Canis lupus familiaris: one gene and its partner. The protein of the gene in region 2 binds, or shares a complex with, the protein of the main gene of each other region. Links are inferred from orthologs where the notes say so. Each region holds a gene or a part of one and is shown on either strand. Other genes may lie near its edges.

Region 1 (8,844 bases), on a different chromosome or scaffold from region 2:
ACCCTGAGGCGCAGCCACCTCCCCTCAGCTCTGAACATAAAGAGCCGGTAGCTGGGGACTCAGTGCCCGGGCCGAAGGATGTTAGCGCCCCAGAGGTCCGAACGGCTCGAAATTCTGAGCCTCAGGATGAGGGAGAGCTTTTCCAGGGCGTGGATCCCCGGGCGCTGGCCGCGGTGCTGCTGCAGGCACTTGACCGCCCCGCCTCGCCTCCGGCGCCCGGTGGCTCCCAGCAGGGGCCAAAGGAAGAAGCAGCAGAAGCTCTGCTGACTGAGACGGTGCGCAGCCAGACCCACAGCCTCCCGGCGCCAGAGACCCAGGCACCTGTGGCCCCGCCTCGCCCTCAGACTCAGGAGAATGGTCCCGAGGCTGGCGACCCTTCCGAGGAGCTCGAGGCGCTAGCTTCCCTGCTCCAGGAACTGCGAGATTTCAGTCCGAGCAGCGCCAAGCGCCAGCAAGAGACAGCGGCAGCAGAGACGGAAACTCGCACGCACACGCTGACCCGAGTCAACCTGGAGAGCCCCGGGCCGGAGCGTGTGTGGCGCGCTTCCTGGGGAGAGTTCCAGGCGCGCGTCCCGGAGCGCGCGCCCCTGCCACCCCCAGCTCCCCCGCAGTTCCAGGCGCGTATGCCCGAGAGTGGGCCCCTTCCTGAAGCCCACCAGTTCGGGGAAGGAGTGTCTTCCCCCAAAACACATCTAGGTGAGGCATTGGCACCCCTCTCCAAGGCGTACCAAAGCCTGGGTGCCCCTTTCCCCAAGGCGCGCCGTCCGGAGAGCTCACTCCTGGGCGGCTCTGAAGCGGGGGAACGCCTTCTACAGCAAGGGCTGGCGCAGGTAGAGGCCGGGCGGCGGCAGGCGGAGGCCACACGGCAGGCCGCGGCGCAGGAAGAGCGGCTGGCGGACCTCGCCTCCGACCTGCTGCTCCAGTATTTGCTGCAGGGCGGGGCCCGGCAGCGCGGCCTTGGGGGTCGGGGGCTGCAGGAGAAGGAGGAGGAGCGAGAGAGCGTGAGGGAGGATGCGGAGGCGGAGCAGGAGCGACGCGGCGGGGCGGAGAGGGTGGGGGAAGAGGATGAGGAGGCGGCGGAGGCGGAGGCAGAGGCGGAGGAGGCGGAGAGGGCGCGGCAGAACGCGCTGCTGTTCGCAGAGGAGGAGGACGGAGAAGCCGGAGCCGAGGACAAGCGCTCCCAGGAAGAGATGCCCGGCCACCGTCGTAAGGAGGCTGAGGGGGCAGAGGAGGGCGGGGAGGAGGAGGACGACGACGAAGAGATGGACCCTCAGACCATCGACAGCCTCATCGAGCTGTCCACCAAACTCCACCTGCCCGCAGACGACGTGGTCAGCATCATCGAGGAGGTGGAGGAGAAGCGGAAGCGGAAGAAGAACGCCCCTCCCGAGCCCGTGCCGCACCCCCGGGCCGCCCCCGCCCCCACCCACGTCCGTTCCCCGCAGCCCCCGCCCCCTGCCCCCGCCCCCGGCCGGGAGGAGCTGCCCGACTGGAACGAGGTGCTCCCACCCTGGGATCGCCAGGAGGACGAGCTGTTTCCCCCCGGGCCCTACCACCCTTTTCCCAACTACATCCGGCCGCGGACACTGCAGCCGCCCGCCACCTCGCGCCGCCGCCACTACCACCACGCCCTGCCGCCTTCGCATCACTATCCAGGCCGGGAGGCCCAGGCGCGGCGCGCGCAGGAGGAGGCGGAGGCGGAGGAGCGCCGGATGCAGGAGCAGGAGGAGCTGGAGAATTATATCGAGCACGTGCTGCTCCGGCGCCCGTGACCTGCCCGGGTCCCGCCCCCGCGCGCCGCAGCAGCGCGAGCTGCCACCCCCCCTCCGTGTTACACCCCTCCCCTCTCGATGTTTGCATGCTTCCCCCTGCCCCGCCCCCGGCCGCCTCCCGGCCCCGCCCCCGCCCTTGGGTCGCCCCGCCCCCGGGCTGCTCTGGGACCTGTCAGACCGCTTCCTGGATTCGAAGCCCGAACTCCCCAAACTCCCTCGAGGAGGCCCCCGGGGCCACCCCAGACGGGCGGGTGGTTTGAGCGAATTCCCTCCCCCCCTACGGGCCTCTGTCCCTACCTAGTCCCTCTAGGGACGTCCCCGTCCAAAACCGGAAAAAGCTGTTCCAGTTAATTGTGTGAAGAAGTGTTTGTCTCCCGCCCTTTGGGCCTCCCAGGAGCCTCTCCGCCCTCTCCAGATCGCTGTGAATTTACCTATTCTTTCCCTTCTCTGTTGTAAATACCCCTCACGGAGGAAATAGTTTTGCTAAGAAATAAAAGTGACTATTTTATTAGGACTTTGTTCTCCGTTATTCACCCGTCCCCTTGGGCCTCCGTGGTCCTTCCCAAGGGGCGGTGAGGGAAGCGCCAGCCACAACAACCAACTCCTTCTGTTCAAAAGCGAGGGTGGTGGAACCACTTTCAACCGTATTTAAGAGCAGAGTATGGCCTGTACCTGTTAAGAAAGCCTAAATTCCACTTCTAGCTTGGAGGTGGTGGAGGTAGTCATTGGTTCCCAGAGAGGGGCAGCTCCAGGACACTTAGAAAGCTGTTCTATCCATGATCCTCCAGCCACTTAGTACTGGTGGCTCCTCACAGTCCCTGTTCCACCTCATCCTGTCACCTCCCTTAACTGCCCCCTATACTCCCTGGTCCTGGGCACTTTACAACAGGGAGGAGGAACCTCCAGCTACAGAGACGCCCTGCTTTTCACCACTTCTAAACACTTTGGTGAACATACAGGGTTGGATATGCCCTTGAACCCCTGGTTTCTCTCTCCAAATACAACTAAACCAGCTGAATGAAATCTTCCACAAAGAAACCTCCCAGGAGTGAAACCATGTCCCCAGGAGCTGTTTCACCCTGGCCAAAGGCAGCTGGGTAGCTGGAGGCACCATGTTCAAGAGAGGCAATGAACTGACAAATCCTTTTGGAATAGGGGTGCCAAATAAATTACAGGAAGCTCAGTTAAATTTTCACTTTTGATAAACAAGGAATCTATTTGTATAGGATACCCTTATCCTAAAAATATTATTATTCTAATTGAATGAGGTGTCCTCTATATGTGTGTGTGCATGTGTGTGTTGTGTGTGTTTCTCTAACTCTGGCAATCCTATTTCGGAGGAGGTAAATGGGCAGTGTTCCCATGAGTGCTGATCCCAGGGTCCTTTCATTCCTTCACAGAACCTAAGCAGGCAAAGTCCAGAAATGCTTTTCCTTTTATTTCAGAAGAAAGGAAATAAAGTCAGATGCTTCCCACACCCCACCCCTTAGCTCCTGCCTCACCCAGAACATGGAGTGAAGGAGGGACAGTCTCCCATAAAGCCTGCCCTTCCCCCAACCCTCACTTCCCTCAAGTGGTAAGGTTAGAAAAAAATTAACCATGTTGTTCCTCCCCTGGCACTGGACAGAGTCCCCACTGCGGCCGAGGACCGAGGACGAAGAGGGTAGATGAGGACTCTCAGTACTCAGAAATCCCCCCCACCTGCACCCCAGGCAGAGAAGCTGCCCTGGCTGGCTACTGGGGCAGGGTGGAGGTAGGTTATGGGGCAAGGGAGAAGAGAAGAGCCCTGAAAACCTTTTCCCTTTAACCTGACGTATTTATATATTTACAGTTAGAAGGGAGGGGAACAAGTTTTAGGTAACATTAGTTCTTCAAAGGCAGGGAATGAAAGCCAAATAGCACCCCCATTTTGGTCACATTTTCCTACCTCCTAAAACCTTCATTGGGGAGAGGGGAAAGAGGAGATACAGGTGGAGGGAAGGAATGTTTGAGGGTCCCAAGCCCACAGCTCACTCCGAAAGAAGGTGAGGCAGCAGAGGAGGGGCAGCTGGGTCCCACCAAGAAAAGGGGCACTCATGCCCTGCCTCTCCACCAGCTCCCCACAGCTCCACGAGGCCCAGGCGGGAGGGGGGGGGGCTATGCCAGACCCATCTCCTCCAGCACACTGCGAGGCGACTCATCCTCCTGAGGCAGGGACAGAGAGTGACGCAGAGACACCAGGACAGGCAGACAAGGAATGTGGGCAAGACAACGACAGTCACACGAGGGGGGGGGGGGGGGGTAGTACAGAGAGACACAGGGAGGGGAGAGAAAAGCCAAAGTGAGCTCAAGGTTAGAACAGCTAGGGACCCTTCAGGGGAGCTGCCCAGTCTCCAGGGACTACCCTCTAGAGCCAACTGTGGTAAGGAGGGGGTTCTGGTTGAGTCCACCACCACCCAGAAAACCTAAAACCAGAAGCTTGGGGAGCAGGGGGCTCATTCTTGGTCTCTGAGGGGGAAAGGGAATGAAGCTGGGGCTGAGGGGTGGGAAGCCTGCTTTCTGGAGATTGGGGGTACCAGGTGCCAGATGGCCGGGTCCTTGTATTCAGAGTGGGGGCAGGGAGTAATAAATTGGCATCAAATCCCTGAGGGAAAGTGAACCATACTGCAGAGAAATGAGTCATTAGGGTCTGAGCAGAGCTCTAGTAACAGGGGTAGGTGTATGTGCCAGGCACTGTGTGTGTGTGCATGTGTATGTGTGTGTGTGTGTGAAGGGGAAGTTGGACCAGTGAAGTGGCAAGTTCAATTCTGCCCTTTCTCCTTCTGCAGAGATGAGCCCCCATCTCTCCCCCTCCTCAGAGCCAGCTCAGGCCAGCTTGCTTGTCATTGCAGATTCCGGTGACTCATCTCCCTGCACCAAGTCTCAGCAGTGGCACAGCAGAGAGGGGGCAGGCAGTAATGGGGTGAGGGCGGGGGTGTTGGATAGCAGGAGAACCAACAGCCAGGCACCCTCAACCGCAACCCCCAAACCCCCGCAGCCCTTTGCTTCTGTGGAGCAGAGGCTTTTGAGTGTACGTGTCCTTGTGTGTTTAAAAAGGGGGTGGGGGAGACACCAGGGAAAAAAGAATTATCTCTCAAGTGCCCCTCTCCAATTCCCTGAGCAGTCCTAAATGCCCAGAGAAGGATGGGACACAGAGGATTTGGCTGGGATGAACACCCTGGGTCTTGGGGGAAGGAGGGAGAGCTGGCACAGGCAGGCTACCTGCCACCAGGACCTCCCATGCTGAGCAGTCAGTGCTTGAGGGCAAGCTGGCCAACTGGGCGCCGTGGGGGCGGGACACCACAGGGAGGGGGGCCCCCTTGGCGGCTGGAAGGGGGCAGCCATGGGTGGCAGGCAAGGTGTCCAGGGAAGGGAGGGTATGCTTCCTCCTCCTCACTGTCCTGGGCCCGTACCTCCTGCAGCAGGTCAGCCTGCTCGATGGCCTTCAGCACACTCTTCTTGGAGGTGTCCTGGACATCACCCCCCATCAGAAACTCATCCAGGATGAAGTAGGCCTTCTCAAAGTTGAAGATGATGTCCAGTTCGCACACCTGGGAGGACAGAGAGAAGGCAGAGTTGAGTGTCAAGGGGCATTTGCATCCCACCTGCACCCTAGCCGCCTGCCTCTTTCCTTATCATGGCTCCACGTTCTTCTTGACAACTTCTCCCACCTCCTGCTCTTGCCCCAGGTCTATGATCAACTCCCTCCCTCCGCCACCACCACCAATCCCTAGGCCTTAGTACCTTGACTTTTCCTTCTCTCCTCTTGCCTTTTTCTCTGTGAACATGGAATATTACTTGCCCTAATCTACCCTTGACTGTGGTTCCTGCTGCTTTTCCCCCCAAAATCTGTGACACTGTTCCCATAGGGGCCAGGCTAGCCTCTCTCCCTGGGCACTACAGGGCAGGGAAGGAAGAGATTCTAGATCCTGGGCAGAAAGACTTGAGTTCCAAGCAGGGCTCTGCCACTACGCAGCTAGATGGACATGTCGTTTCATTTTTCTGAGTTTGTTTTCTCATCTGAAAATTGAGATAACAACACCTACTCACAGTATTAAACGAGGAGCAGACACAAGAACCTGAAAGCACTTTGTAAACTGTTAAGTGGGGTATATGTGATGGAGTTATTACTCTTCCCCATCTAAGATCTGAGCTGACTATCAATGCCCAGGCTATACCCCAGTTCAGTTAACCCAGAATTGCTGGGCATGGGACCCAGGCATCACTGATTAAAAAACAAAAACCAAGAAAACCCCCCAACACTCCAGAATAATCCAATGCAAAGTCAAGTCAGGAGCCAGTGATAAAATCTGAATGTGGTCTTCGTCCTTTTGAGACTTCTGAGCTGAGCTCTAGATGGACTGATTCTGGTGCACACCCCTCCCCTGGGCTGATTAAGGGATATGGCTAATAGGCTTATGGTTTAAAGAAGGGAATTAATTACTGTTCTCACTACTCCAACTCTGCCTCTTCTAAATCTTCCAGGCAGAGACTAGAAGGGTCCCGGGGTTTGGTAGGAAGAGGGGACTGCTGGGTACGAACAGCGTGGGTGGGGAAACTTACACTGCCGAAGTATTTGTCCAGGAGCTCCACATACCGGTGGATCAGCTCCAGCGTGATGAGCTCATTGTCTTGGCCCTCAATGGCACAGCAGAAGTAGAGGCTGGCATATCTGAGGACAGGGGCACACGTGGGGTAGCTGGAGGCGCTGCTGCATCTGCTTCAGGATCCAGGCTTCTTGCACCCAAACCTCCCATTCCTCATTCCCAGCGCAGGGTCTGGTGTCCATTGGACATAGGCGGGGTGGCCCCAGGGTATGCAAATAGTAACAACTCACTCCGTCTCTTGGTGACTCTCACAAACGGAGGCTAACACAAGCTCTTTCCCTTTGCCCTCTGACCTGTTCAGTTTGACTCAGCAAAAACCTGAGCCAAGTAATCCACCTGCTCAGAGAAGGAACTGGACAGGGTGTGTCTGTGTGCGCGTGCGTGTGCGTGTGTGTGTGTTTGGGGAAAGGTGGTGCAGGATCTATCACTGTCGAATGAGGGAGGCTGCAAGGGACACGTACGATGAACAGGATAGGGCCTTGGTGACAGAGGTATGTGCGTAAAGTAGGTGTCAGGCATGAGCAAAACAAACGGGGAGCAAAACAAAGAATTTCTTCAAGGTAAGTTTGGAAATTGAAGGAAGCTGGAGTCCATCACTGACCTCCAGATGTCCTTAGCTCCCTGTTCTCCCTGACCTTATTTCTCAGCCATTTGAACCACCGCCAGACCCCCACCAAGCAGGATCCAGATAGCTGTGAAAGTAGGCGGCAAATCACCTCTTATAGACGACTTTGAGATCCCTCCACTCCAGGAAGCTGCACATCTTGGGCTTGCGAGCCAGAACAACCTGCATAAGCTCCCGGACCATTTTCTTTCGCTCCTTGTCTGATGTGGCCAGGTACCATTTCTGCAGCCGCAGCTTTCCCTGCCGGCTGAACAGCAGCATGAATCGCATCTAGGGGGCAGGGGCAGAGCTGAGGGTCAGAGATTCTGTTCCCTGGTTTTGTTTACTCCATAAACACAGTCATACATGCGTCCTACAAGTGCAGCTAACCCCTGTCCATTCACAGCTCCCACTGGCTTCAAAAATCAGCCCTTGCTGGTCAACTCTGAGTATCCCCACCAGCAGGTGCCTTTACTTCTGGGGGCATGTCTGAGCTTTGGAGTCTGTCATTTGGGTTCAAATCCTCCTGGCTCCAGGAGTTGAGAAATTTGCCTTGGGCAATTATTTTACCTCTCAGGGCCTCAGTTTCCTGGTCTGTATAATGGATGTAATATAAGTACCTACCTGTTTGGAGGGATTAAATGAGTTGATATATGCAATTGTGCCTGTCACATGGTAAGCATTGGAACACAATAGGTGTCACTATTATCATGCCTTCATCTCTTGTTTCCTACCTCTGCCTTCCAAAGGTCAGTCAAATGCCCAGCACAGTGACAAGCAGCTCATAGATGAAGTCAAAGAGATGTCTGCTTTCTTCTGTGGTCCTTCTATCCACCACCATCCCGAAATGAAGGATTTTGTCTCTCCAGAAGCTACTTCAATTCTCCACCCCATCCTGGCCATACACCCTTGTGGATATCCCCAATACACTGCCCTCCAGTGCTAGTCATATGCCCAGGGGTAGATTCCACCCTCTCCTCTCCTCAACCATCCAGGCCTCTGGCCACTGACAGTCCTCTCTTTTTTTCCTTCTCGGGTGCCTCTTGCTATGCCCCCACTCCTCTTCAGATACCAGGTGACCAATTTCCCTTTCAGTTCCTTGGTTAAGGACACCATCACCCAGGGTGGTTCCCGAAGCTTTGTGAAACAAAGTGCACGCTGAGTAGAGTGGGGAGGAGTGAGGAGCCGTCACTACCCCGTGCACCCGCAGCTTTCAGTTCCAGGGGGTCCAGGCTACATCCTGGAGTTAGCTCCTCCCTGGACATTACCACGGCTGGAATCCGTGGGTGTTTGACACAGTACTTGCTTAGGAGGCTAGATCAGAAATCAAGGGTTTGGGGTGGTGGGGAAGGGGACACGCTGCTAGCGTGACGGGAGGGCAGCAGAGGGGCGCTTGGGAGCCCTGCGTGTCTGAGACTGGGGGGCGGGGAAGCGGGAAGCCAGCAGGAAGACGGAAGGCCTGGGCTCCGGAAAGAGAATGGGGTGGGGGACGGAGAGCCAAGAGCACGGGGTCTGGGGATCCGAAGCCTGGGTCCTGGAGAGCAAGACCTCGCGTCCATTTGGCTTTCCCACCTGCGATAAACCGAGGCAGGACGTCCACTCCTCGGACCCGGAAACTCTCCCCTCCCACACAGCCTCTGCTCTGGGCTGCACCCGAACAGAGGGTCTTGTGACCCGCCGCCCCCCGCCGCCGGCAGGCCCCGGCGCCCCTCTTCCTCGGGCGGACCTCCCTGCGGGAGTGAGTGGTCGGGACCCCTCGGACCGCCACCCGCGCGCTCCCCCAGCCAGGCTCGGGACGGTCCCGCCGCCCCTAGTCAGCCCCCTCTCGCCCCACAAACGCGCC
Region 2 (8,846 bases):
AGTTGAACAGGATTATACCTCTAAAGTTCCTCAACCTCAAAACTAATGAAATTTTACGCTAATTATTTGCTGTAGGGGGCTACCCTGTGCTTGTAGGATATTTACCAGCACCCCTGGCTGGTACCCATTAAATGATAGCAGCAATCCTCCCAGTTGTGACAATCAAAAGTATCTCCACATAGTGCCAACTGCCAACCCCTTGTGGGCAAAATAATATTTTAATAATAGTAATAATTTAATAAGATTTCATTTTATAAGCTAAGTAGATCAAAGCATTTAAATTTTATAGATGTTAAATACTGCATACTAAAATTTTAACACACATACACATTTAAATACCCTGGGAGAGGTGGTATGAAGTGGAGGAAAGAAGTCACCAAATTACCATCTTTATTTGATCCCTCCAAATAAGAACAAGTTGAGAATCATTTAAGTGATAGGAAATGATCATGAACTGAGAGAAATCAGGATCCCAAGAAGAGGCATAAGAAAACACAGTAAAATAAAGAGTGCATTTTAGGTTTAAATATATTTCAAACTACTTATAAAATTATCTGGAAAATATACCGGTTTTAAAAGGATTAACAAAGTGAAGTGAAGTAAGGCTAAAATTAAAAAAAAAAAAAAAAACCCAAGTACACAAGAAAAAAAATGACATACTAAAAATTAGCAAAGAAAGTAAAAATATACATGGCCAAGCAAAACTCAAGAAGCTGAAACAAATGCGAACAACATAACAAGTGTAGTAAAGCAGAATACCAATAAAGGATACAAAAAATATTCATACAGTTCTAAATTTTATAACTCTAATCTAGTAATTTTCCCACAATTTCCATTTCCAGAACAATTTTAGAAATGCATTCCTTTTTTTTTTTATTTTTTTTTTTTTATTTTTATTTATTTATTTTTTTTATGATAGTCATACAGAGAGAGAGAGAGGCAGAGACACAGGCAGAGGGAGAAGCAGGCTCCATGCACCAGGAGCCTGATGTGGGATTCGATCCCGGGTCTCCAGGATCGCGCTCTGGGCCAAAGGCAGGCGCCAAACCGCTGCGCCACCCAGGGATCCCAGAAATGCATTCCTATGGAAAATCAGAGGCTACTCAAAACAAGGTGGCAGCATATGAGTCCTTAAATCCCTCAGATTTTAGCTCTTTTCTCCTGTAAAGGAACAGTAAGTAGTTTTGGGAAATAACAAAAACTCACTGCTCCAGTTCCCCTAAAAGCACACACTAAATTTATTTCCTAATTTCTACTTACTTAAATTACTCTGCATTAGGATATATGACTGTAATGATGGCTTAAAGAATGTGAAACTCAAAAATGTTTAACCTAATAAAGAAAATGTGTTTGTTTTGTTTAAGATTTTATTTACTTATTTGAAAGAGAGATCATGAGCAAAGGGCAGAGGGAGAAGCAGTCTTCTCACTGAGCAGGGAGCCCAATACAGGACTCAATCCCAGGACCCCGGATCATGACCTGAGCCGAAGGTAGATGCTTTAACCGACTGAGCAGCCCAGGTGCGCAGGCAAAGGTGTTTAAAACACACTGTGAATAAGGAAAATCCAGGCTCTTTAACATTTTATTAGTCTTCTTCATATAACACTAGGAAAATAAAGTAAAAACAAAAACAAAACATTAAGACCTCCTGACAGGGCGCCTGAGTGGCTCAGTCAGTTAAGTCTCTGCCTTCTGCTTGGATCATGATCCCAGCGTCCTGGGATGGAGCCCCGCATCACATTGCATTGCATTGGGATCCCTGCTCTGCAAGGAATCTGCTTTTCCCTCTGCCTCTCCCCACTGCTTGTGTACATTCTTGTCTGAAATAAATGAATAAAATCTTTTAAAATTTTTTTAAATTAAAAAATTACAATTGTGAAGATTATGAACTAACATGGAAATGCTAATATATTAATAAGTGTATCATCTATACACTATGTTTTAACCAAGGAGTTGTTTTTGCTTTTCCATGTATCCAGTAGAGCTGTGGCATCTGGGGGATTGAAACTATTTGTGAATGACTCAAAAGTGTATAACAAGTAACATTTTGAATTTTACTAAGACATAAATATAAACCATAAGCTCTGGGAGGAAGCTGTTAGAAAAAAAATCACTTAATCTCTGATAGCCAGGCTAGATATCCTTCCAAAATCCTTATCCTATGGCTATTTTCTATTTGAGGTCATAATACGTAGTAATTCACCATTATACTTTTAAAGAAATCACTTTAGAAATTATGTGCTACAGTGATACACTTGGACTCAGGGGTTCATAATGTCACTGAATACATCAACAATTAACTAATGTCTACTACATATAAACAAACATGAGAAAAAAACATTCCCAAATGTAAAGTTGTATTTGAATATCATCATCAGGGACAATTTTTCCCTTCATTGCTTTATTAAGAGGAAGAGAGGAAAATACCTAAATATCTCTCTTCCCTCCACAAATGGCCTTGGCTCCTGAAACCAAATTATGAAAAAGAAACATAGAAAAACTGATGTTTTAGGACACTAACCAAAAGCAGAAGTGACTTGGGATATATTTCTTTTGTAGCCTGAAAGTCCTTTCTATCCTAAATACTATGAGAGCAATTTATCCTCCCAACATTAAATACTGGACTTTAAAGAATCTCTGTGAATTATCTCTAGAATACTAGCATGACAGTTTACAATCCAGATATTGTGAAGATTCTCTTCCCACTCCTGACTCAGCCTCCCCCCTCTTTAACTGATTCATGTGCCAGGAAGTCTATGTTCACTGTAGTTTTTCCCCAAGGCCTTTATCTCCAGCCAAGCATTAAATAACTCCAGTTTGGTCTCACCTGTAAGGTTGATGTCTCCCAGCAAATCAAGAAGTTCTCCACCAGCAGAAGCTGGTTTGCTTGTAGGTGCAGTTGGAATAACAGGTGTTATGTCATTTCCTCCCAACAAATCCAATAAATCATTGGCCTAAACAAGGAATAATATCTCAATTCATTAGTCATTTATCTAATCTGCATCTAAGGCAAAGCTCTTTCAACACTTAAAAATAAGGAAGAGAATCCTCAATCAATCCAGGAACGTTGAAGGCAATCAGCTGAGATACAGGTTATAAGGAACTGTTATAAGATTCCCAGATAAGCAAGTGAAAAGCTACCTGGCTGGTGGGCTGTGGCCCAGAAGGTGGTGGTTTGGTCTCTAGTGGAGCAGGTTCTGTCTCTCCATTTGTCTGCACAATCTCAGTAGGGCCATTTGTGGTCACTTTTTCCATGACAGGCATTCTCTCAAGCAGGGCAGACCTGGAAGAATCTGAAGTGGTTAAATTCTAGGCAGTTAACCTAGATTCCCTACCCAAGACAATCAGTGTTACTATATTAGAGCCAGACATGGACAGTTATCTCTGCTCCCCACCCTCTAAAACACACACTAGAATAGAAGGTGGATTACAAGAATACATGACCTAAATTCCTGACTGGATTAAGGGCAGGCGAGAAACCCTGAATAGACAAACTGTCCACCTAAATCCCGAGAGATGGGGATTTCTCAGAGGTACAGAAATTGGAATGAAAGAAAGGTAAATAAGTAGGTATTAGCCATTTCCAATCAAGAAGACACTGCATAACAGAAGTGGAAAAAAGACCATGCATCACAAAGTTAAATATTAGGACGAGATTCTCTTGAAAAAACACAACTCCCACTTCTTAACCAAATAACATGGAAAATGAAGCAAATATTTCACACCAAAAGAAAGGGGAAAAGGTGAATGAAAGGACACAGATAATTTACAAGGTAGACAGAAGAGAAGATGGACAAATAAAAGCAGACAAGCAATTAGGATTAAACAGAGTTGTGAAGTCCAGTAATAAAGCATGAGGAAGGAGTCTCCTTTGTGGATTATCAAGACAATCTGTTCACATGCTAACAGCCATATGCATTGATTAGTTTCTTCCACTTACCTCATATGGTCATATTTCTTAAAAAGTGCATTATATTCTACTGCCCTCTGTTGGAGTTCCACATCAATGCTGCTCCCATAGATGGAAACCACTTTCTTAATTCGGCTTTGGGATAAAATGACAAAAAAATTCAAATACCCAAAAGAAAGTTCGTAAACAAGCAGAGAGAACAAACAAACCAGTTTTCTGGTTAAAAATCCGAAATACTCCTCTTTCCTTAATTTACATATCTTTTCAAAGACAAAACACCTTTTTTTAATGTATATTTTTCTATTGGAGTTCGATTTGCGAACATACAACACTCAGTGCTCATCCCTCAATTGCCCCCCCCCCCAGTCAATTGCCCCCACCCAGTGCGCGTCACCCAGCCACCCCATCCTCCCCCCACCTCCCCTTCCACTACCCCATGTTCATTTCCCAGAGTTAGGAGTCTCTCCTGTTTTGTCTCCCTCTCTGATTTTTCCCACTTATTTTCTCTCCTTTCCCCTATAATCTCTACACTTTTCTTTTATCTTCTTACACCCAACATACACCTGAACACCATCATCTACCACTAGTACTTGTTCTGTTAGATGTCCCATACCTAAAATTTGCTAGAAAAAAGTATCAATTATTAATTTGTTACAAAACAAGTATATTAATGTTCATTCTCTTCTTTAACAACCTTACAATAAGCTTTTATCAACAAAAGGTTATTACCTGACAACAAATTCTTCTAGTTCACCATTTAAAGGGTTAGTTTTCACAGAACTACAGAAAGTCTAAGAGAACTAAGTTTGCTTTAAATATGTCTGGCTGAGAAACTAATCCAATTGACTTTCATTCCAAATAGTGAAGAGCAGAATTTAAACATTTAACGAACCACCCAAACCTTTGTGATTTTCTTCCTCTTCAGATACCTCAAAATATTATAATAAACCAGAACCCTTATAGAGGGAAGTAACTACTCTACTTTAAAAAAGAGAAAAGGCATTAGATATCTGATTTTATTTTTTGTAAGATTTTATTTATTTATTCATGAGAGACACAGAAAGAGAGAGGCAGAGATACAGGCAGAGGGAGAAGCAGGCTCCAGGCAGGCAGCCTGACATGGGACTTGATCCCAGGTCTCCAGGATCACGCCCTGGGCTGAAGGCGGCACTAAACCGCTGAGCCACCCGGGCTGCCCAGATACCTGATTTTAAAAACAAAAACAAAAACAAAAAAACCCATAACTTTTTATCTTTAAAATAATAAATGGTGGGATGTGGGAAACAAGGGAGTAAAGTATAGATAAAATAAGGATGAACCATAAATTAATGATTATTACTGTGGAATAAGAGTTATATATGATTCATTTTACGACCCTATTTTGCCTTTCCTTTAAATTTTCTATAATAAAGAGTTTTAAAAATTACAAAATAACATGTTCATCCTACTTTTTCTCCATACTCACTTTACAGTACAGGTGAATCGGGTAGAAAGCTTCATAATGGCAGTGAGAGCATAACCTCGGGTCACAGAGGTGGACATATTAGAGATTAGAACACTCTCTAAAATATCCAACACTTCATCTTCTGTTACCTGGGGAGAAAAAAAAAAAAGTCAATATCTAAATCTGATATCAAGTCACAGGATGCCACCAGAAAGACAACCCTACCATCGTTACTAAAACTCTAACAACTATCTGTGCTTTGCCACAGTAACTGTCCAAGCTGATCCATCAATCAGAAGCAGGTAGGAGATTTAAAAAAAAAAAAAAAAAAAAAAAGAGTGGAAAATACCCACTGGAGGCTGAGAGCCATATTATATTAATTGCAAGAGGCAGAAGTAAAGAAGAAAATAAAAAGATAAATAGAGTACAAGTGTTGTTGCTACCACATCTCCTAAAACCCAGTCTTTTAATAAGCAAATGCTGATATGGATAGGTCTCATTTCTTATCAAGCCACAGCGTAGGAGAAACAATATAATTCAGTCTCATATCGTAAGGAGTAGGTTCTATCCCGACACAGTAAGGATAGTAAGTTCTATCACAAAAACTGCCAAGTTTCCCAATAGAATTCTGGCATTAACTTCTTTAACAGGTTTCCACGGAATCGACCTCAACTCATAAAACATTATCCTCCTATAACCAAAAACACTAGTTTCTCCCCTCCTGAGAGAGTAGCAAAGGGTACCTGAATAGGTTCTTCCTCTTCACACTGGCCTGATACAAGAAGATCTCCATATTCACCTATACACCATGCAGCCACTTGTACCAAAGGTTGCTGTCAAAACAAAGACACCATTTGTCAAAGGCTTTCAATCCTTGCAAAGATTAATGCAAATCCCAGGTCATCTAATCATAAAGGTCAAAATCAAGGCACATCTAGAGTGTTAGTAACAAGAACACACAGGAACGTAATGGGTAATTTCCCTACCAAAGTAAAAAGTACCTACTTGAGAATAATCACCAAGAATTGCTTTGTACAAGCGCTGGACAGTATAGGCATGCATCTCCACACTATTGGTTATTAACTGGATCAAGTTGGGGACTGCATCATCACGAACGTAGCTTCCTGCCTAAAAAGAAATGCAGTTATCCTTAAAACACACTACAATGATAAGAAATGTTAGCTATTGCTTTTATTCAAAGAAGACTGCTACGAAATATCCTCAAAGATAAAACGGGTTCCGATTCTCAGGTTCATATGCAGCTCAAACTTCAAAGTCTTATTCAGATGACTTCCTTATTTAAATGAGTATTCTAAGTTTTCAAATTTTAAAAAAAGTAAAAAAAAATCTCCTTTGTAAAAGTAAAAAAAAAAAAAAACAAAGGATTAAAATTTTAAGAACTTTTCTATTTCAAAATAGATTATTAGGTTTAAGATTTCAAAAATGTAAGAAATGCAGTAACTGGGAACTTAATTACAACAACCTCTCCCATCTCACAACTCTTCAACACAGTTAAAATCATATGGGCTAGCTACAGAAACCAAACTACTCTGGAGGATGGAGAGGAGAGTGTACGTCAACAGTCCAAAAGGACAGCATGTTAAAATAAGAATTAAATAAACTGTAACCTTTTTAAAACTTCAATTTAAAACATCGCACTGTCCTTTAGAACTATAGTTTATAAAAATTACAGAACCATTCATCCCAGAAAGGTCAAAAATATTTTGTATTTAATCATCCACACTTTAAAAACAAAAACAAATCTAGTCTCTTTAATGTCCTCTTTACTAGTAGAATCTAAGATACTATTTGCAACCATGGAACAAAGTAAAGTTATTCAACCTGTGAGGAAACTAAATCTTGGCCTTGTCAGAGCATTATGATAACCAAGTTGTGTAGGACACAAACAGTGGAATCTGTGCCTGATATCAGCCCACCTTGATCAAGCTCCCATTACTGGACAGAGGAACAGGTCTGATTTACAAGAATGAGACCAGGAAAAAGAAAAGGAAAAGGAAAAGGGGAGATGGGGAGAGGGGGGGAACAGAGAAGAAAAAGAAAAAAACCTCAGGTGACTGGGATGCCCACACCTACTAGAAAAACACAAAGAGGAAGAAGTTTGGGAAAATGGTCAAAAAGGAACAGAGAGAAGCTAAAAAGTAATTTGTTTTATATTCTTCCCCAATGGGAAAAAGTAGTGTTTAAATAAGAGAAAGCATCGATATGATCTAAATGACATTTATACACCACTTTATCCAATAGCAGAAAACTCCTTATTCTCAAGCTCCAATGGAACATTCACTAAAGACAGACCACATTCTGGGCCATAAAAAAAAACCATCTCAAATTTATTTAATTAAAGTAGGTTCCAAGTCCAACATGGGGCATGAACTCATGACCCTGAGATCGAGAGAGTCACATGCTCACTGACTAAGCCAGCCAGGGATCCCAGAAACATCTCAAATTTAAAAGAAAAAAGCTGAGGGGCACCTTGATGGGCTTAGTTAGCTAAGTGTCGGCCTTGGGCTGAGGTCATGATCCCGAGGTCGATTAAGCGGCAGATTGGGCTCCCCACTCAGCAGGGAGTCTGCTCCTCCCTCCCCCAGCTTGTATTCTTATTCTCTTCTCCCTCTGCCCCTCCCTCCCCCAGCTTGTATTCTCTTTCTCTCTCAAATAAATAAGTAAAATCTTTTTAAAAATAAATAAAAGAATAAAAGTCATACAGGACTTAATTAGAAATCAAGAACAAAGATAGCTAAGAAACCCCAAAATATTCGGAAATTAAACAACTAAACAACACTTAGGTCAAAGAAAATTATAGACCAGTATCTCTCATGAATACGGATGTAAAAATCCTTAAAAAAATATATCAGCAAATCAAATACAACAATGTATAAAAAGAACTGTACAGCACAACCATGTGGGATTTATTCCAGGTATGGAAGGTTAGTTAGTTCAACATTCAAAAATCAATTAATTTTTGATCCAGCACATCAATAGGTTAAAGAGGAAAAATCACAAGACCATAATAAGATTACCTAAGTCAACTGGAAAAATGAAAAGTAGGAGCATTAAAAAAAGAATGGTTTAAATTTTGACAACACTTTTCTTCAGGAGCTCTAATTGTTCTCTTCTTTTGAGCCTTACAGAAACTAATAAACTGTATCCTGATTCATACCTTTTGTTAAAATATAGTTTTCCCATTAAGTGCATTTATTAACATTTTTACAAAATTAATTCAAATAAACTAGAAAACTAGCATGTCACAGACAGAATTCCACAGCAACAAGCATACATACACACACAATTTTAACGATATCATTCCTTCCTACAGATGTTTTATAACTTGCTTAACCAAGGACCATTTGCAGACTTGTAGTTTTTCCCAGTTTTCTCCCATTAAAAAACAAGATTGGGATGAACATCTTTGTATATACATTTTTGTATACTTGTTGTCCTTGAATTTTTCCAAGATAAATTCCTAAAGAGAAT

What was found.
Region 1: the proteins of AP1G1 (region 2) and AP1S1 are in contact, whole or in part, in a crystal structure (PDB 1W63), measured with the Mus musculus proteins. The link is inferred for Canis lupus familiaris from reciprocal best matches to the Homo sapiens genes AP1G1 and AP1S1. Residues at the interface, in NP_001288140.1 of Mus musculus: Leu7, Arg8, Ile11, Arg12, Arg15, Leu54, Tyr55, His57, Met58, Gly60, Tyr61, Lys78, Phe79, Thr80, Arg83, Ile84, Leu87, Met90, Leu91, Asp94, Glu95, Thr115, Phe117, Leu123, Cys124, Gly127, Cys128, Tyr152, Lys155, Lys156; in NP_031483.1 of Mus musculus: Met1, Leu14, Arg15, Leu16, Gln17, Lys18, Trp19, Leu21, Ala22, Thr23, Asp25, Arg28, Lys29, Arg42, Lys45, Met46, Cys47, Ser48, Phe49, Glu51, Lys56, Gln74, Asp75, Asn76, Glu77, Leu78, Ile79, Leu81, Glu82, Leu83.

The regions. Positions count from the first base shown.
Region 1 is NC_049227.1:8,616,824-8,625,667, forward strand, and holds the end of AP1S1 (AP-1 complex subunit sigma-1A), read right to left. Parts: intron 7,293-8,844; coding exon 7,114-7,292; intron 6,463-7,113; coding exon 6,354-6,462; intron 5,342-6,353; coding exon 5,204-5,341; intron 3,957-5,203; coding exon 3,909-3,956; 3' UTR 3,190-3,908; downstream 1-3,189. Other genes in the region: neurosecretory protein VGF, read left to right, coding at 1-1,772. UniProt on the Homo sapiens protein: Subunit of clathrin-associated adaptor protein complex 1 that plays a role in protein sorting in the late-Golgi/trans-Golgi network (TGN) and/or endosomes.
Region 2 is NC_049226.1:78,101,735-78,110,580, forward strand, and holds part of AP1G1 (AP-1 complex subunit gamma-1), read right to left. Parts: intron 6,483-8,846; coding exon 6,360-6,482; intron 6,188-6,359; coding exon 6,098-6,187; intron 5,504-6,097; coding exon 5,376-5,503; intron 4,046-5,375; coding exon 3,941-4,045; intron 3,284-3,940; coding exon 3,142-3,283; intron 2,955-3,141; coding exon 2,828-2,954; intron 1-2,827. UniProt on the Homo sapiens protein: Subunit of clathrin-associated adaptor protein complex 1 that plays a role in protein sorting in the late-Golgi/trans-Golgi network (TGN) and/or endosomes.